2 linked regions of the Anolis sagrei genome follow. The protein of the gene in region 1 interacts with the protein of each later gene in a biochemical or structural test. Links are inferred from orthologs where the notes say so. Each region holds a gene or a part of one and is shown in the gene's direction. Other genes may lie near its edges.

Region 1 (10,683 bases):
CTGAATAAAGAGGGGTTTTTTAAAATCTACTTTATGTGAGATATAATGGGGTGGGTAGGAATTACCCACTGGAATCAGTTGGGCTTTGGCTTTTGGGTTTTTAGAGCAGCCACACAGCAATGCCACCCTTCCATGTGGTTGGTCCTTAAAGATGTCCAGTCACAATCAGGGAAATGCAACAGTGACACCTACTGGAAGCTCTCTGCTCCGTCTGTTCCTCAGCTAACAATGAGAGCACATTACAGAAAAGTGCTGGTTGAACAAAATGCTTGGAACAAGAATGGTTTTGGATTTCAGATTTTTTATTATTTTACCTATACATAATGAGAGATCTTTTAGTGCGATGCAGTAGCTAAAAAAACAATTCTAGCCTGTATCAATAGGAATTTAGTGACTAGATCAGGGAAAGTAATTGCCCCACTCTTTTCTACTTTGGTCAGACCTGACCTGGAATACCGTGTTCAGTTCTGGACACCACAATTCAAGAGGGATACTGAAAAGCAGGGAAAGGCAGCCAAAATAATCAATGGTTTGGAAGCCAGACGCTGAGAAGAGCTAGGTATGATTAGCTTGGAGAAAAGAAGACTGAAAAGGGACCTGATTGCCATGTTTAAATATTTGAAAAGGTGTCATATTGAGGAGGGGGTGAGCCTGTTTTCTGCTGCTCTATAGACTAGGCCACGGAGCAGTAGATTCAAATTTCAAGAAATGGGATTCTACCAAAACCTCAGGAAAAATGTCCTGACAGTCAGATCTATTCAGCAGTAAAATATGCTGCCTGGGAGTGTGGCGGAGTCTTCTTCTCTGGAGGTTTTCAAGGAGAGGCTGGATGGCCATCTGTTGGGGATGCTTTGGTTGTGTATTCCTGCATGGCAGAATGAGGTTGGACTGGATGAACCTTGTGGTCTCTTCCAACTCTATGATTCTTTGGCATTTCTATAGTGTTTTGGACCAAAATCTAAACACAAAATTCATTTATGTTTCATATTTACCATATACACACATCCCAATAGTAATTTTATATAATAATAATAATAATAATAATAATAATAATAAATTAATGTATTTATTTATTTAATTATTTATATCCCACCACCATCTCCCCAAAGGGACTCAGGGCAACTTGCAAAACACTCCAGGGCACATATAACGTACAACCGGTAAAAATGGTACAAAAGTATAAAACAAGTCACATAAAATTATAACAACAATCCCCAGTCAACATATGTTAGTATAAAATCAAAACAATACAATTTTAAAACAACAGTAGATAAAACCAACTGCCGTCAATTCACATGTGTTTCATATGGACCCATTCAGCCTACTCATGTTGGAATGGAAAAAATGAAGGGTGGGGGCTAATCTAATCTCATTTGGGAGGGTATTCCACAGCCAGGGGGCTACCACAGAGAAAGCCCTCTCTCTCGTCCCCACCAACCGCACTTGAGGCAGTGGTGGGACCGAGAGGAGGGCCTTCCCTGTCAATCTCATATGTAGTATGCTTAATAATATAATGCATGAAACCAATATTGTGTGTGCCATGGACCACCAGAAAGCACAGGTGTCCCTATCCCAGACACCCTTATGGACAACTTTGGATTTTATAATAATAATAATAATAATAATAATAATAATAATAATACACTTTATTTATATTTCGCCCTTCTCCCCTAAGGAACTCAGAGCAGATTACAGCATTTACATACATAGCCAAACAAACATATAAAGTTCACTGACCAGTAATAATAATGAGAAAAGGAAGAGTCACAGCTACCTTCAACATCAGAAAGCTAAAAGGACAATTAGAGGAGGCAACACTGTTACACTTAAATTGCACCAGTAGTGCAAAAGGTAGCATATTATCTTTCCGTGTAGGGGGAAAGCACTTTTTGCATGGGACAAGTGTCTTCTATGATAAACACCTTGGAAAAGTGAACTGGGAACTGGTGCTATAATTCTCAAAATCCCCCATGTCGTATGACCACTGGGACTTATAGGTATAGTTCCCAAAAGGTAACATTTCCAACTCTAGTTGTGCGAAAAGGGGGCAGGGATGTTCCTCATCCTAGTCACTATGAACTCAATACATCTCTTCCAAATGATGTTCCGACCCATTTGCATTTCAAACTACATTAATTAAACATTATATCATAAAGCACTCATTGAAAAAGATCAAGCTATCCCAGAGGAAGGTTTTTAAAATTAATTTCAAAAGGTTTGTTTCATATGAATTGTAGAAATCTTTATGAAGTAATAAATTCCTTGTTCTTTGAATGGTTGAGAAAGGAGCTCTGCACAGGCATAATCTTTTCCCTTCTAACCAGAGATTCAGAATCTTTCGCTTCAGCTCTTCAAAATCTCATATCCCTTCTCCTTAATTTGAGGATATTTTTATCCTGATTTTTATTAAGTCCAGAAGAAGCAGGTGTGTTTCCAAGTCAGTTATACACCATCTCCTTTTATGGTATTAAATAGCTACCCCAAATGAATTTTAATACTGCATCTGGAAGAGCTTTATAAATATTGAGAAACTTGGTTTCTGGGTAACCAGAACTCAAAGATGACCATTTGACTTTCTGAATCATGATAAGGCTTTCTATAAATGCCAAATGTTCTAGCAAAAATAATGTGCTACTGTCATTTTATTGGAATAAAGAAATAGAACAAATATGTGGGTGGTTGCCTTAATTTTTCAGCTTTCTGGATTTCAAATAAATTAGTACAGAAAACTATAATATGGATGTTGCCTAGAAAACTCAAGCAACTGAAGACTAATAAACTTGATGTCGATAACAAGGAAAGTACTATATTTAGACAAGAAAAAAATGAAATGCACAAATATTGGATAGTGGTATAAGTTAAATGATGGGGCTCCGCTAGAAACTTTTGCTTCAAAGGGGGATCTATAGAAATGCTGGCTGGAGGAATCTGGAAGTTACAGGACAACGTTTTGCCACTATGGCAATTCCACTGCTTGTAATGAGAACAACAGATATTTTCCCCCGTTTCTCAGCTATGTTCAACACTGAAACTCAGTATAATTTCTTGTTTATGCTAGAATGTAAGTCAGGTGAGGGCATCTTATGACCCTAGGGGTTGTTGGATTGTAATTCCCATTATCCTTCCCACTGTCAATGCTAACTAAGAGCCCGTCCACACAGCCCTATACCCCAGAATATCAATGCAGAAAATCCCACAATATATGCTTTGAACCGGGTTATCTGAGTCCACATTGCTATATATTCCAGTTCTAGCAGATAATGTGAGATTTTATTCAGCTGTATGGAAGGGGCCTAAGGCTGATGGGAATAGCAGTCCAGTTACATCTGATCAGCCACAAGCTGCCTTTCCCTGATATAATGAAATTCCTTGATATTAATTGCAGATCTGAATATAAAGCATCAAACTGGAAAAAAATACAGTGCATGCTTCATATTAATTTGGGTTGCCATAGGTTGGGTTGCCAAAGCCCCTTCCACGCAGCTGTATAAAATCCCACATTATCTGCTTTGAACTGGGTTATATGGCAATGTGGACTCAGATAACCGAGTTCAAAGCAGATATTATGGATTATCTGCCTTGGTATTATAGGTTATATGGCCATGTGGAAGGGCCCCAAAAGCGATTCTATAACAATAAAGTCATCCACAGGATCTTTTTCTCCTCTTGTGCCTGAAAATGATGGGATTTCCTTTGCCAAAATTTGTTCGGAGATTTGCTTTTGCCTCTTCTGAGGCTCAGAGAGTGACTTGCCCATGGCCGCCCAGTAGGTTTCGATGGCGGAGCAGCGTTTGAAATCCTGGCCTCCAAAGTCATAACCCAACACAGAAACCATTACAACATGCTGGCTCTCAATCAGATAACTACTTAATTATTGTATTTTTAATCAGATGACTAATTTAATCAGATGACTAATTTTGGTTCTCAACCCGTGGGTCCCCAGAAATCTTAACAGCTGGTAAACTGGCTGAGATTTCTGGGAGTTGTAGGCCAAAACACCTGGGGACCCACAGGTTGAGAACCACTGCCTTAGAGGTTGAGAAACCATGTGAGTGCATAACAACCAAATAGCCAAGACTTTTGTGAATTTCATTTTTTAAATCTAGGTAGTGGAGGTGCCTCCACGCAGGTAGATGATGCCACCACAATGGTATGCAGAATCCTTTCCCACCAATATTTCCACTGCAGACCACATCCATAGGAGAACTTGTGAAAAACACTGCAATGTTAAAATTGCAGAATCATTGCTTGGCCATTAATTGTCCACCCAGGGAGCCAATTTCCACATATTACTGTGAATACCATTTCTTTTTTTTTCTTTCCTTATATGCAAGGCTCTTGAACAAACAAGGTAACTGACTAGATTAACTCACTAGATGGCAGTGAAAGCTCGTGGTTCACAGTTTTTATCCTGCAGTAAGTTTCAGCTCTCTTTTCAGGTACAGGACAAGAGGAGAAAAGGTTAGAATTATCCTGGAAGATGCAAAAGGATTAGAATTAGAATTATATGAAACAGGTCACCATGAGCAGGGTTGTTGTGTGCTTTCCGGGCTGTACGGCCATGTTCCAGGAGCATTCTCTCCTGTCGTTTCACCTGCCTCTATGGCAGGCATTCTCAGAGGTTGTGAGGTCTGTTAGAAACTAGGAAAACTGGGTTTATATATCTGTGGAATGTACAGGGTGGGAGAAAGAACTCTTGTCTGTTGGAGGTAAGTGTGAATGTTTCAATTGGCCACCTTGATTAGCATTTAATGGCCTAGCAGTTTTCAAGGTCTGGCTTCTTACTGACGGGGGGGGGAGGGGGGAGAGATCCTTTGTTGGGAGGTTATTAGTTGGCCCTGATAGTTTTGTGTCTAGAATTCCCGTTTTGAGTGTTGTTCTTTATTTACTGTTATATTTTAGAGCTTTTTAAATACTGGTAGCCAGATTTTGTTCATTTTAATGAATAAAAGGATTCCCCCAGGCAGTAAGAAGCCAGACCTTGAAAACTGATAGGCCATTTTGAGGGTGCCTGCTGCCATGGATGTGGATGAAAAGTGCAATTTATATATCTGTGGAATGTCCATAGTAGGAGAAAGAACTCTTCTCAGCAGTCAGCCAGGCTTTGATGTCACAAGGCCATTAAATGCTAATCAAAGTGGCCTACTGCAGCATTCACACTTGCCTCAAGCAGACAAGAGTTATTTCTCCAATCCTGTACATTCCACAGATATATAAACCCCAATTGCCTAGTTTCCAACAGACTTCACAACCTCTGAGGATGCCTGCCATAGATGCAGGCGAAATGTCAGGAGAGAATGCTTTTGGAACATGGGCAGACAGCCCAGAAAACACACAACAACCCAGTGATTCCGCCCATGAAAACTTTCGACAATTAACCGGTTGTTAGGAATTGTGGAAGTCTAAAACACCTGGAGGGGCCAAGTTTGCCCACTCCTGCTCTATATAGCCTTCTCTGCCTAAGAGAGCTGGGGCCTCCATCCAAAGTACTACAACTCCCAGGATTCCTTAGCATGGAACCAAGGCAGATCACGTGACGTCAGGTTGCATTCCTTCCTTCTTTCATCCACCCTTCAAGAGGCAGAGGCTCCCTCTTGGGACGCGCGTATCACGTGACACCCCCCCCCCCCTCGAGCCAAGATGGCCGAAGGGGAAGGAGCCGCGGAGCCAAGAGGGGGCCCCGAAATCCTCGGCGGGGCCCAGGCGCCCGACACTTCCGAGCTCCCAAGCGACGGCCCGGAGGAGAGTGTGGAAGGCCCGGCCTGGTCGGCGCCCCTCCTCTCTTTGGCCAAGAGGGCCTCGGAAAACTTGGCGGCCGGCTATGGGAGCGCCTTGAAGTCTGCAGCCTTGGTAGGACTCATGCCCAAACCCGTCAGCCCTGACAGCGCCGCCAAACAAAGTACGGCTACTACTTTTCCTGCTTCTCCTTTCTGGGGTGTCATTCAGCCAGCCAGCCAGCCAGTTGTTCCTTACTTTGCACGTCTGGGAGGAAAAGTTTGACTGCGTCTGCACTGCAGAAGTAATGCGGTTTGACCCCACTTCAACTACCCAATGCCGTTGGATCATGGGAGTTGTCGCTTTTCCTGGTTTCCTCGCCAAACTAGAAATCCCAAGGTTTCATAGTACTGTGCCACAGCAGTGACAGTGGGTAAAACTGTTATTTCTACTGTGTGGAACAGGCATGGGCAAACTTCGGCCCTCCAGGTGTTTTGGACTTCAACTCCCACAATTCAGGAATTGTGGGAGTTGAAGTCCAAAACACCTGGAGGGCCGAAGTTTGCCCATACCTAGCGTAGATGCACCCTTTCAGTGCCACTCTATAAAGTCTTTGTCCCATGAAAAGGGGCTCAACAGGTGTCCTTTGATGTTGCATCTACACTGCAGGAGTAATACAGTTTGGCCCAACTTTACCTGACATAGCTCAGTGCTTAAAAAAAACCCAAAAAAACAGGGAGTTGTAGTTTGGTGAGGCGTCAGCACTTTTTGGAAGAGGCGCCTAAAGTCCTTATAAAACTATACATCCCATGTTTACATAGCATTGAGCCATGGCAGCTAAAGTAGTGTCAATCTCTTGTCAATTTATCTGGCACCCTTTGCCAGAGAAGGCTAAAGATGTTGTGAAATGACATGCATTGAGCCATAGCAGTTAAAGTGGTGTCAATCTGCATTCGTTCTACAGTGTAGATGTGTCCTGAGGTGTCGCTTTTGTTATGAGACTTGGAGCAGAAGTAAATAAAGTCTAAGCAATCTTAATGTAAACTAGGCTTCATCATGGAATAATCCAAGCATTTGTTGTTTACTGATATTGGGTTCACCTCCAGACAAAGGGTCTATCTACACTTACCTGTCCGAATTCATTTCCCCTTATGAACCCTCCAGGACAGTGGTTCTCAACCTGTGGGTTCCCAGGTGTTTTGGCCTACAACTCCCAGAAATCCCAGCCAGTTTACCAGCTGTTAAGATTTCTGGGGGTTGAAGGCCAAAACATCAGGGGACCCCGGGTTGAGAACCACTGCTCCAGGACTTTAAGATTGTCTGGAAAGGCCCTGCTCTTGGTCCCGCCTTCATCACAAGCATGGTTGGCAGGAAAGAGAGGCAGGGCCTTCTCAGTGGTGGCACCTCGACTATGGAACGCCCTCCCTAAGGATATCAGATCAGCCCCCTCCCTTTTAACATTTCAAAAGAGAATCAAAACTTGGCTCTTTGAGCAGGCATTTCCAAATACACATAGGAAAATGGAATGGTTGAACAATGTGATTAGACAATGTTTTTAATAGGAGACCCTAATGTTCATGTTTTTATTGATTTTGTTATGGTTTTATTATCCGATTATTTTTATTGTATTGAAATTGTATTTTATGGTCTCGGCACCAACTGTGAACTGCCCCGAGTCGCCTGCAAGCTGAGAGGGACGGTATATAAATATAGTAACTAACTAAATAAATAATACACTCTAGAATGAATGCAGATTGACACCACTTTAACTGCTATGGCTCAATGCTTGTCATTCCACAATGTCTTTAGCCTTCTCTGGCAAAGAGTGCTGCTGCCTCACCAAACTACAAATCCCATGGTTCTACAGCATGGAGCCATGGCAGTTCAAGTGTTGCTGCATTAATTCTAGAATACAGTTGCACCCATGGTTGCTATTATATCTTTCTGAAACATGAATGACTTCTGAGACTAATGTGTATTAATGCAGGAACTATGCCTTGAGCCTTCTCATCCGTTCCACTTCTAGGATCACGTGTCTGGCCTTGGTGATTCTTGGAAGCTCAGCTGCATTGCTTCCTTCGAATCAACAATTCATGAAAAGGAGACATAATTGCTGTAATTCAGCAAACTTAGGAAAACTTTTTGAAGTCCACCTAACTGTAAATGATGCTTGTGCGTGTTAGATTGTGATCTACTGGTTTGCATAAGACTAGAAAAGCTGTCCTAAGAAGGGTGGTCCATGACATTTTAATCTTATGACAGAAAAGGCAGGCTACTCCACCCTAACTTCCATTTCATGCCTGGCAGATTGGCTGTATAATTTTACTGCAGTACTAGTCATGGGGTGGCTGCTCCCATAACACCAGAAAATAACAAACTAGAGTGTGCAGATGGGGGTGGCATGAGCATCCCATCCTCCCAAGAAAGTTCAAAAGTCCAAAAGAAATAGTTATGTGGAGCTACCACTTCTTTCTTCCAGCATTTGCCACAGAGGCAGTTTTCTGACTTTGCCTAAAGTCGGGGCCTTCTCTGTAAAAGCATAACAGGGAAGAAAAAAGGAACAAACAAGTAGTTATGTGACACTTTGAAAACTAACCACCTTATTTCATCATAAACTGTCTTAGATTAAAATCCATCTCTTCCATGCAAGAAAAATTGTGTGATGAAATAAATTGCTTTGTTGTAAATGTATGACAAGACTATTTTTCTTCTTATGGTTTTTAAAAAATTTGCATATAGAATCTTAAGGAATTTTGTACTCAATTTTTCAAAAATATATGAAAACGTTAGATTTACATCTGTGTTTTCACAATGATTGAGTTTTGCACAATAACAGTCAAGTAAATAAAATTATCCTCTTCTTACCCTGGTTTCTTTTAGATTAATGTTCAGTCTGACTTCATTCATCTCCATGTATAATAATCCTGTTTTAATAACTTTATTTTTGTACCCCACCTCCATCTCCCCGAAAAGACATGGGACGGCTTACATATGTCACAAAATGCCTAAAAACAATGCATAAAATAAACATCCAGTACAATACAAAAAAGTAAAACCAACAGCACATAAAAACAAAAATTTAAAATTCAGAACAATACCCAATAACCTATGGTGACAGCTGCCATAAGACGTGGCCAAACTATAAACAAGACAAGGGAATGGGATGAGAGTGCAGTGCCGTGTCATTAATTGTGGACCATTGGGGCTAGACATTCTCAAAGGTTTGTTTAAACATCCAAGTCTTCCAATCCCTATGGACAGGCCCGTAGCCAGGATTTTGATTCAGGGGGAGCTGAGTTTGATTCAGGGGGAGGAGGAGCTGAGTCTGAGTGAAAGAGGGTCTACCCTAGCAAATCTTTTGTATCGTTACCCCAATACCCCCATACATATGGGAACATGGTGATCAGATCATATGAATAAACATAAAAGTTTAAATAATGTACCAGTAAGACCTTCTCGTGGACCACCATGAGTAAGACCTTCTCGTGGACCCCCCCCCCCCGGCTACATGCCTGCCTATGGAAGGAGGACAGTGTTGAGGCCGGCCTTATCTTCCTAGGGAGGGCATTCCAAAGCCGGGGGGCGGGGGGGGGGGGGGGAAGGTGACACTGAGAAGGCTCTGTTTTGCCAACTTCTAGGAAATATAGGTTGGCAAATTACAATACTTGTAAACTTAACTAATGTAACCATTGAATGGGTCCTTCATAGACTCCATAGAGCCAGGTATCTTTTCTTCCAGTTCCATCAGTGCCCAAATTGTGGGGGGAAACTAGATTAGCATTTTATGGTGCATTTACACCATGTAATTAATGAAGTTTGACACCACTTTAACTGCCATCACTCAATGCTATGGAATCATGGGAGATGGTAGTTTTACAAGCTCTTTACTCTCCTCTTCCAAATAGAGTCTCTAATTAAGGTTGCAATTGAAGATCTACTTATCTGGGATTGAATTGCATTGAACTCTATAGAGTTTGCCTTTGGGTAAACAAGGATAATATGGCAATGTAATTCTTAACACCATTGTTCCACAGTGATGAGTTTGCATACACCTGTGGGGTAAGAGGCTATACTGAGGGCAGGAGTGCTGCTAGTAATGTTTCTTTTCCTGAGGAGCCAGACTAAATAGCTACTGGGCAGTAGCAGAAGTGGAAAGTAATCCTGGAAGAGAATCTCTCATTGGCATCATAGCTAACACCTATTAGTAATGCAGGAAAGAGGGCATAATAAATTCATCAACCCTATGATGAGACATTTGAAAATGAAACAAGAGTTAGTGCCAGAAGATGAAATTCCCAGGTTGAGTGGCACTCAACAAGCCCTTGGAAGACAACTATGAGTAGTGCTGTGTCTAATGATGCAACTAGACTCAAGTTGAAAGGACATTCAGCCGTTGACATGCTCTGAGTTGAAAGGAAAGTCTAAAGCTGCACAGCACATGTTATAGGAATACAGAATGAGAAAATGAGGGAAGATAACCACAGTAAAACAAGAAATGGAATGTATAAACATGAACTGTACATGAACTGAACCAGCTAAAGGCAATTTTAGTTTATTTACTGTATTTTAATTCTGTTTTCACCACATGTTACTATTTAATTGTTTTATAACTTTTGTATTGCACCTTTTAAACTTGTCTAGTGTGGAGTTTTAATTGCCTTGAGTCCCCAAGAGGAGAAAGGCAGGGTATAAATAAATAGTATGATGATGATGATATGCAGAGTAATGGCACATTTTGGGTCAGACAATTACACAGCATTTTACTCAGGAAATCAAAATCTTAAGAAGAAGAAACTCTCTGAACAAACGAAAGAGAAGCCACAACTGATGATGCATAAAACCAGTTAAGGGCAGATGAGAAGCATAAAAGGGGACATAAATAGAGTCAGAACCCTAAATGCAACTATTGTATGACTTGGGCACAGGGACAAGGAGAACTAATATCAATGCAGAAAAATAGACAATGAC
Region 2 (10,851 bases), on another chromosome or scaffold:
TGATCCACATGTGGACAAGCAGCAGTTGTGGGATGAAATATGGACCACAAAGTAAGGACTAATCCCTCTCCCAAATGTAATTCAGCCAGAATGAATTGAACTCCAGACAAAAGACAACTCCTCTGGCAATGCCATGAGCAGCATCAGGACAGGAGACTCAGATTATACCTTAGAGAAGTGGGAGAGATTTTCACCATTCCCACTCCACCATAACCTGCAAGAATCTCAACACTAATAATAGCATCTCAGTGGGGAATCACTAAGCAGTGGAGGAGGTTTTCACCTCTCAAACAACAGAGACTTCTGTTTCCCTACTGCTAACAGTGGGAATCAGAAAGTGGGGGGAATAGTAATTAATTTATAGTAATGGTTTCCAACCTTTAGTCTTCCAGATATTTTGGACTTCAGCTCCCATAACTCCTAACAGCTGATAAACTGGCTAGGATTTCTGTGAGCTGAAATCCAAAACACCTGGAGGACATAAGACTGGGAACCACTGATTTATAGCATCAGTTTCTAAGATTTGTGTAAAAGAATACATGATTACAATCTGTACTCTTAAATAATTATTCTTTTTTTTTAACTTTGGGACTCAAAGCATTTTACAATAAGCTAAAAACATACACAGCTACAAATTCAAAAAATACTTATTAGTTTATAGCATCAGTGTCTAAGGTCTTTGTAAAATGGTACATGGTTGTGATCTACAGCCTAAAGATACATCTACAGAGACCATATAATGCAACTTGAATCTGGCTCAAAAATGCACCTCCAAACTATGGACCTGATCTTTCAGAGGCATGCTGCAAGTCGTCTCTGGTTGCTTCTGGATCGAGAGAATCAGCCGTCTACGAAGACATTGCCCAGGGGACGCCCGGATGTCTTGCAATCCTGCGAGGAGGCTTCTCTCATGTCCCCCTGGGCACACAGAAGACTGGGCGACTTGGAAGGCGCTGAACAGACTGCGCTCTGGCACCACGAGATGCAGAACCAATCTTAAGAAATGGGGCTACAGGGTGGAATCCACGGCATGCGAGTGCGGAGAAGAACAAGCCACAGACCACCTGCTGCAATGCACCCTGAGCCCTGCCACATGCACAATGGAGGACCTTCTTGCAGCAACACCAGAGGCACTCCAAGTGGCCAGATACTGGCCAAAGAACATTTAACCAACTACCAAGTTTGCAAAATCTGTGTGTGTGTGTTTTTTTGTTTTTTTTAATCTGTGTGTTTGTTTTGTTCTGTTAGAATTGTAATACAATGGTATGGTTGCTGATGACACGATAAACAAATAAATCTTTCAGAGAGAGAGCAACCCCTTACAGAGCAGACTATGTCTTAAGACTTACTATGGCAAGAATAAGAGGACATAAGAGCAGGCTTTCTTGGCGGCTGCTCCCAATTTCTGGAACTTGCTGATAGAAAATGAATTTCCTTCTGCAAACAAGAGACTGACTTTTTATTCAAGCATGCCTTTGGCATATAAACTAGTTTGCTGTTGAAGGAGTTCAATGGAATAGGTACTGGCTATGTCTTTCAATGTTCTATTTTAATGTTATGATTTTAATCAATACTTATTGTTAGCTGTATTGTCAAGGTGTCTTTGATGTACTTTTTACTTCCAAGGCAAGGCATGTATGAAATGAATACATTTGTAAATAACCTATTTGTGAATAGAGTTATCTATGTGATTGTGGTACAGTAGAGTCTCGCTTATCCAACATAAACGGACTGGCAGAAAGTTGGATAAGAGAAAATGTTGGATAATAAGGAGAGATTAAGGAAAAACCTATTAAATGTCAAATTGCGTTATGATTTTACAAATTAAACACCAAAACATCATGTCTTACAACAAACAGACAGAGAAAACAGTTCAATACACGGTAACATTATGTAGTAATTACTGTATTTACAAATTTAGCATTAAAACATCTCAATGTATTGAAACAGCTGCGGACCCAGGCAGGAGGGAGACTACGTTGGATGATACAGAATGTTGGATGAAAGAAGGTTGGATAACAGAGACTCTACTGTAATTGTAATACACAAGAAGAAACAATTCTATATCCTCCATATGATTTCATACTAGAAAAAGGTCAGCTCTCAGATCAGAGGTATTTCTTGAAGAAATATGGAACACAGATAGTAGCACTTTGCTGTGGAATAATCTCTGCCAAAAAAAAATGTTTTAGCCTATCCATTTAGTTGTTTGAATTTCACCAAAATAAAAGTATAGTGGTGGTGCTCCATGCCAGGACTTCTTAAAGTTTTGCTTCTCGTGACCTCTTTCCACCCAAATTATTTTATATGCTCCAGGAATATAGGTATATATAAGATAGGTATAAAATCAAACACTGATGATAATAAATCAGAATTTTCAAGGCTTGCTAAACAGGCCGATTTTTCTTTTTGTGACATACAGCTGAAGCATTTGCTTCAAAGTCCACTACAAACACTGCATGGTTTTGTTAAGATTGGTGCAAAAGTGTGGCATTCAGAAACCTTTCCCTTTTGACAACAATGAATCATGGGGACCCCATTTGGGGTTGGACTGACAGTTTAAGAAGCAGTGCTCTATACAGCACTAGGTTAAACCAGGAAGCTCTTAAACATCTTTATCTGCAACAGCTAATGCAGTCTACAAGTAGGACACAATGGCAACAGCTCTCTCCTGCAGTCGCTCTTTGAATTCTCTGTCCTACTGAACTATTTTCTTGTGCTGCCCCACATTTAATATTTTCATACTCCTCTTACAGTTGCAATTTTTATTTTATGCTCGACTCCATACAAAAAGTCATGGCTTTTTGGTAGACACTGACAATGCCTATAGCTATATCTGTGCCCAGAATATGGTCTGGAAGTAATATTTGTTAGGAAGCAAAGAACTAGTTGGAATTGGTAAGAAGGGAGTACCATGTATGCTGAAGTATAAGTTGAATACATGTATAAGCTGTGGACAGATTTCGGGGCCAAAATTATAGATTTTGAGATGACTAGTGAATAAGTCGTGGGTCATTCTGTGAAATGAGGAAAGTGCCACCTTGGCTAACATTTTACAACTCTGGCATTCAAAAGGCCCAGAAGATTAAAGGGGTTAGTGCTTGTTTTAGGTTCCTCCAGAATGGGCCACGCTCTTGCCTTTTGCCCCTCTACTCAGAAAGGACTAGTATTTTAATAAGAGTCAAGTAAGATATACAATAATTACATTGCCCTGTGGATGTGACCCAGATTTTGGGGTTGATTTTTACTGTCTGTGCCCCTGTTCAGAAGATTTCACCTCACTTTCTGTCCCTATGATAAATGGATTTTGAAAAATGTGGAGAATATAATTTTATGAATGGGTTAGTGTCTCAACTTGGGGACTAACAAGGCAGGGCTATCTGTTCCCTGAGGATTATTGTCTTTGTGATTACCCAGTGAATAACCCATCAGGTGGGTCTGGTGCCCATGCCCATTTCTGACCTTACAAATATGCTGTCCCGAATGATGGGATTAAAGAATCCATTACGGGGAAATGGCATTCAGGAAAAACAGTGGCAGAACCTTCCAAATGTGTTGTCGAAACATCAGGAGAGAATGCTTCTGGAACATGGCCATATAGCCCAAAAAACTTACAGCAACCTTCCAAATTTCAGGAAGGGTGCCAGGTGATCGCAAGTCCTTATGGCCACACAAAAGGTTAGCCCAATTCAGGGTCCGGTCATCCTTTGTGAAGTCTGGAATCAATAGAGATGGATTGATTCAGAAGATGATGGGTGCTTGAGTCCTTTGTTGAGGTGGAGACCAGGGAGACACAAGGGGAATCCCAGGTCAAGGCGTGCCAGTGAAAGGTCACCAATGTCATGGTGGTGGCTTCATGGATCCAAAGGTATTTTATGAAATTATAAAACACAAAATATTACAACAAACACACATAAGCAATCCTTTATTGCCTATTGCCTGGGTTTTTCGAGTATGAAGGCAGTGAATCCTCTGGAGCTGGCAGCTGTTGCAAGTCTTCCTCCAGCAAGCCATCGGGACTCAGGGGTTCAGTTGGTGATGTTTGAATCTCCTGCCATGGTCCAAATGAAGACTTTTGCTGAGGTGAGGGATGTCTTGGCTTGACATCAATACGGCAAAAATATTAAATATTTAATTAAACTGCGAATAACATTGTAAAAAAATGTGCTATATTAGGTATTACTCCTAACCATTTGCAATTTTCACCCCAGGTGTTCAGTATTTGTAAATATCTTGAAGTAGTCCTTGCCTTTGGCAGCAATTTCCATACAAAGGTCTATGTAAATATTAATATATGTGTAGGACTTGCTTCTGTTGCCAGCTGTGCTGTGGTTGCTTAGGGTGAAAGCAGAAGACATGGCAATCAATAATATAAAAATACAAAGAGGATGAACAGATACAGGAAACAAAGGACGAAAAGAGGATGTGCTGCATTTTAAAAGAATCAGTGCAGCCTTCAGAAGCAGTTGGGACCGCAGCCCTCAGCATTCCTATATTGGCTATGCTGGGTGCTCCGCAATGTTTGGAGATGTCCCAATAATTTTGATCTACAACCTGTGACATCTTCACGTATTTTTTTAATGTCAGGAATGATTTGAGAAACTGCAAGTCGCTTCTGGTGTGAGAGAATTGGCCATCTGCAAGGACGTTATCCAGGGGACACCCAGATGTTTGATGTTTACCATCCTTGTGAAAAGCTTCTCTCATGTCCCCACATGAGGAGCTGGAACTGACAGATGGAGCTCTACCTGCTCTCCCTGGATTTGAACCTCTGACCTATTGGTCATCAGTCCTGCCAACCCAAGGGTTTAACCCATTGAGCCACTACAATGATAATGTGGGATTTCTAGTTTCCCAAGGGCATCTAATCGTTTGCCTCCTCAGACGCATCTATAGTCTAACGTCACACCACTTTAACTGACATGGCTAGGGTTGTGCAATGGGTTAAACCCTTGTGCTGGCAGGACTGAAGACCGACAGGTTGGAGGTTTGAATTCAGGGAAGAGCACGGATAAGCTCCCTCTGTCAGCTCCAGCTCCCCATGTGGGGACATGAGAGAAGCCTCCCACAAAGATGGTAAATCATCTAAACATCCGTACATCCCCTGGGCAACATCCTTGCAGACAGCCAATTCTCTCATACTAGACGCGACTTGCAGCTTCTATGGTTTCTTCCAACTCTGCTTCCACTGCAGCGGGGGCACGAGCGGTCACGTGGTGCGGGGCCCACTCCCTCCCCGCAGCCCCGCCCCTTTCCAGCAGGGGGGGCGGGGGCAGGAGGAGGAACGCACTTCGGGTTTCAAAACCGGCGCGCACGTGCGTTTTGTTTTGGTGAGAGGGAGAAAGAGCCGTTGGCGGCCCGGCGCGCCTGCGCACCAAGGGAGGCCTGGGGCGGGGCCAAGCGCGAGGAGCTCCGTGCGCAGGCGTAGAGCGGCCCCTTCACGCGCTGCTGCTGGAGGCGCTCTTGGGCTCCTCCTTGCCAAGCTCCCTCCCTCTCTCCCTCCCTCCCTCCCTCCCCTCGCGCTCGGAGCGGGAGGCTTCTCGGGGTGCCCTGGGGCCGCGGCTGAGGCGCCCGAAGGCCCTGCGAACCCCAGCGGCCTCCTCCTCGCGCCCAAGATGTCGCAGACAGCCATGTCCGAGACTTACGGTAGGGAAGGGGAGAGAGGAGAGGAGGGGCTGGCCTTGGCCTCTTCTGAGGGAGGGAAGCAGGGCTGGCGAATGAATGTCTATCCCTCTCAGTGGCCCAGGAGCCCAGTCCTTTCTCTCTTCGCCAATAGTGACCAACCTTTCCCACATCCCTGGACCTGTGGTGGGAATAGGTACCTTTACCTTACAAAGGCCATGACACATCTTTCGCCCTCACGCAAAACAGCATGAAAGCCACAACAGAGCGAGGCCCTTCATGGTGACCTAAAACGCACCAAACGGCTTCGTTGGCTGAGGGGGGAAAGGAGAGGGCCTGAGGCTGTTAGGAATGGTGGGAGTTGAAGTCCAAAACACCCGGAGGGCCCACGTTTGCCCAGGCCTGCTCCAACCCAACTGAACATCATCTGGTACAAAATGCAGGCCCGTGGGCCCATCAACACTGTGGTGGAGGCTCCTCCTTTTGAGGCTTTTAAGCAAAGGCTGGATGGCCATCTGTCGGGAATGCTTTGAATGCAATTTTCCTACTTCTTGGCAAGGGGTTGGACTGGATGATCCATGAGATCTCATCCAATTAAATGATTCTTTATGTAATCCAGATTATGAGTTCCCACCTGTCAGCTCCAGCTTCCCATGTGGGGACATGAGAGAAGCCTCCCACAGGATAATAACACATCCAGGCATCCTCAGGGCACCAGAAGCGACTTGCGGTTTCTCAGGTCGCTTCTGACATGATTTTAAAAAACTGGATCATATGGCAGTGTAGACTGATATAATCCAGTTTTTTAAAATCATGTCAGAAGCGACCTGAGAAACCACAAGTCACTTCTGGTGCCCAGAGGATGCCTGGATGTGTTATTATCCTGTGGGAGGCTTCTCTCATGTCCCCACATGGGAAGCTGGAGCTGACAGGCAGGAACCCATCCCATCTCGCAGTTTAACCCATTGCTCCACCAAGGCTCCACTATATAATCCAGTTCAAAGCAGGTAATCTGGAAGTTTCATGACAGTGATGAGGCCCATGATTCAATACCAGGCATGGGAAAACATTGGCCCTCCAGGTGTTTTGGACTTCAACTCACACAATTCCTAACAACCAGTAGGAGTTGGGAGTCCAAAACATCTGGAGGGCTGAAGTTTGCCCATGCCTGAAACACCATCACTTTTCAATACTTTATAAACAATCTTGCCAATGGAGCCACTAAAAGTCTGCATGAGGTATTTTGTGTGTTATGGTTGGCCAATAAGAGTATTGCACTTTTGTTGATTTTGTTTTATTTTACTGCAAATCCACATTCTCAACAAAAAAGAGGGTGCATGATGTGTCGTGCAAGATTGCTTCCTCCTAAGAGGACCTTGCATATTGCTCCCTGTTCTTTTCCATATCTTTATTTCTGTGCTCTTTTTTAAGGGCTGCTTTTTTCCCCCTACTGGACCAGGAGTGGGAAAAGAGCAAGTAGGAGTGATGTGCATTGGGTTGTTGCTTGAAGAAGGAGTACATGAGAATTGCTTTTCCTGTGAAGCACAGAGCCCTTAAGGCAGGGGTCCTCAAACTTTTTTAACAGAGGGCCAGGTCACAGTTCCTCACACTATTGGAGGGCCGGATTATGATTTGAAAAAAAACCCAACATGAATTCCTATGCACACTGCACATATCTTATTTGTAGTGCAAAAAAAAAAAAACCTCACTTAAAACAATACAATAATTAAAATTAAGAACAATTTTAACAAATATAAACCTATTAGTACTTTAATGGGAAGTGTGGGCCTGCTTTTGCCTAATGAGATAGTATTGTTATTGTTGTTATTGTGTGCTTTCAAGTCGTTTCAGATTTAGGTTGACCCTGAGCGAGGGCCGGGTAGATGACCTTGGAGGGCCGTATCTGGCCCCCTGGCCTTAGTTTGAGGACCCCTGCCTTAAGGGCTTGTGTATCTGTGTATACATTCAGTTCACCTGCTAACTTACGGTGAACCCATCAAATTCATAGGGCTTTCTTTGGGGCAAGGAGTGCTCAGAAGTGGTTTTGCCAGTCCCTTTTTCTGAAATAACAGATAACAGTGCCAGAGTTTTGATGCCAGTCTCCCATCCAAGTACTATCCAAGCTGATCCTGCTTAGCTTCCAAGATCAGATAGACTAGTGCTTTTAGATTAGTTGGGTCCTATGGCATCCTTCATTAAATCAAGCTTATCAGTAATGTGGTCTTTCTCTTTCCCTACTTAGCTTCGAAGATCTCACAGGACAACGTGCCTTTAGTTTATGTAGATCCTTAAAGGACTGCATAATACATATTATTTCAGAAGTTTTTATATCATCCATACATGGTGGGCCAGACCCATAATAAATCTCAGTATTTCTCATCCTTGTTTTCTGGTTCAAGAATACTTTCAAAACAAATATGAGGGAAGGGAGCTTAGTAGTTGTTTATTCATTCAGTCACTTCTGATTCTTCATGACCTCGTAGACCAGCCCAGCTCCCTGTCAGCCGTTGCCACCCCCAGTTTCTTCAAGGTCAAGCCAGTCACTACAAGGATAACATCCATCCATCTTGCCCTTGATCTTCCTTTTTCCTTCCATTTTCTTTAGCATCTTCCCCAAGCTTTCCTGACTTTTCATTATGTGGCCAGAGTACTTCATCTTTGCCTCTAATATTCTTCCCTCCAGTGAGCAGTTGGGCATTATTTCCTGGAGTATGGACTGGTTTGATCTTCTTACAGTCCAAGGCACCACATATGTTATACCACATATGTATAGTATAGTGATAGTGCTGCTACTACAATCTATATCAGACTAGCAAGTGATCCATAATGTCAGAGAGTGTAGAGGCGAATGGTTGCAGCTGTTAAAAAGGTAACTGGCTCTTCTTTGTGGGAAGCTATACTTGAGATGGGAATTTCCTCTTTGTGGGCTTGGAGGTGTGGGCATTTTGAGAAACAAGTGTTACTATCTGCTTGTTTCAGAGTTTAAAAAGATAATATTTAATGAAAAATGTTGGATGTGTATAAGTAGTGTTTCTTCAAAGGGTTAATATTACTGGAAGTGCCCAGTATCTTTATATTTCTAACTATTTACATTACCAAATTGTTAATAGTTCTAATTTTCTTCTTGGTACACAGCATTATCAACTTTCACTTTTTCAGGAATCTCTTGCTAAAAACAATGATACTTTGCATCTGTTAAATGGTTTAGAAAATCTTTCCACTTATTATTTCTAAACCAAGTTAACTGTTTTGCATAAATTGGGTCTGAAGAACTAAAAAAGTGCCTGTATGCTGTACAGTCAAAGGAATAGAGATCCCCTTATTACTGTTTAAATAGTTTAATTTTATAATCCCCTCTATTTCATACTCATTGTAGAAAACTGACAGCAACCCCATTGTAGACAACAGACAGTTGTTTTTTTATTAATTCTATTTCGTCTGTTTTTTGGAGGGAGAACCCACTAGTGAAGTAACATTATTTAGTGAATTAATGTTAATGCTAAATTATTGCATTACTAGCATCATTTTATAGTAAAGTTTTACAACAGGCATCTTATAACATTCATCTCTGTGTTGCTAGGTTCCGTCTTCCAGACAAGTTTCCTAATGTTTCCAGACTGGCTGTGATAATAGTTCTGTTTGGTGGTCTGAGCTGCGTTTTCCTTTTTTAGTTATTCCTAGTAACAACTAGCTTCTCTAGGGTGAGAAACCAGACAGCTCAACAGAATCTTGCAGCTCAAGGGTTCTTTGTTGGTAGGGAAGAAAGAGAATACATCTTATAATGAAGTGCCTTTCAAAGCTTTGTTTTTGTTTGTTTTCTTCTGTAAAAAAGAAGCTGGGAGCAAAGTTGAATCATTTAAACAGCTGAAGAAATAACAGGCGTAAGAATTCCTTTCGCTTCACTATCCAAACAGTAAAATATATAAATCACTTTTCCCACAGTGATTTTGAACATAAGGACTACTTTGAAGCCACTGTAAAATTCATGTGAATTTGTGGCACATTGTAACACATGATATTTTTCTATTTTGTAAAGTTCTGTGTTGGCAGAATATGCAAGGAGACTGATATAATTGCCCTGCACTCAAATAAGATAGTCTTGTTTACAAACATGTCCATTATTTCAGCAACTTTCAGACATGAATAATTGACAGGTTTGTAAACTATATGTACTTCCCTTGGTAGGGGGATAGTATCTCAGTCATATGGCTGCAGCAGAATAGACATGCTATATCCTTAGGAATATTTTAGGTTCAGTATGTAATTCTTCAAGGAAAATAGATTTTTATAACACAGTCTGGCCTTCTGTATTAATTTTAGTACATCTAGTTCTTGTAACCAAAAAACAAATTGCTATTAAAATTGAGAAGTTTTGGAATTGAAGGATTTTACTACTTATGGAGTGAAAAATTGTCATATCCAAAAGATTGCAACCTCTGGTGTGGGGGGACGAGGGTACCAAATAGCAAATTCTATGTGCAGTTAGATCTACCACAGCACATTATTCTTCTATTCCTTACATTTATTATTATTGTTATTGTTATTATATTTATTTATACCCCACTTTATCTCCCCAAAGGGGACTCAAAGCGGCTTGACATAAAAGCATTAGCACATAATTTGAAAGATACAAATATACAAAAATTAAAACAGAATTAAATACAAACAGCAGTAAAAAATCAATTAAAATCCGTTCTCACCAACTGAGCTTGGGATGCAGGTGGAAATGAGAAAAGGACCTCTCGTGAAGATCTCAGGGCTCAGGCAGGTTCATAAAAGGGGATGCAGTTGGCCAAATAACATGGACCTGAACCATCAATGGCTCTAAAGGTCATAACCAGCAGTTTGAATTGTACCTGGTAGCTAACTGGCAGCCAGTGGAGCTGCTGCAACGAGGGTTGTTCCTGTAGCCAGCCCCAGTGAGCAATCAGGCTGCAGTTCTTTGGACCAGCTGAAATTTCTGAGCACTCTTCAGAGACAGCCCCCCAGTACCATGACATGCCTTGGTGATTACTAGTGGATGCTTGTCCTGCTTCCACGTTTTCTGGCGTTCTAGATCTGCCAGGGATTTTCGTTTCAGTGTGGATCTACTTGCTCGAAGATTAGAAATCCATACCAAAATCAGTTTCCAGTCTGGTACAGATGCATTTTGACCGAGCACGAAGCATGTATGTAACACTCTCTGTGTCGTTATCACAGACAGTTGTTCCTGTAATACGCTTGAACAAC

Evidence for each region.
Region 2: the proteins of RUFY1 (region 1) and RAB4A form a complex in vitro, tested with the Homo sapiens proteins (2 studies listed by BioGRID). The link is inferred for Anolis sagrei from reciprocal best matches to the Homo sapiens genes RUFY1 and RAB4A.

The regions. Positions count from the first base shown.
Region 1 is NC_090022.1:86,946,126-86,956,808, reverse strand, and holds the start of RUFY1 (RUN and FYVE domain-containing protein 1), read left to right. Parts: upstream 1-5,599; 5' UTR 5,600-5,640; coding exon 5,641-5,899; intron 5,900-10,683. UniProt on the Homo sapiens protein: Activating adapter involved in cargo sorting from early/recycling endosomes. Regulates retrieval of proteins from endosomes to the trans-Golgi network through interaction with the dynein-dynactin complex.
Region 2 is NC_090021.1:61,133,547-61,144,397, forward strand, and holds the start of RAB4A (ras-related protein Rab-4A), read left to right. Parts: upstream 1-5,410; 5' UTR 5,411-5,615; coding exon 5,616-5,646; intron 5,647-10,851. UniProt on the Homo sapiens protein: The small GTPases Rab are key regulators of intracellular membrane trafficking, from the formation of transport vesicles to their fusion with membranes.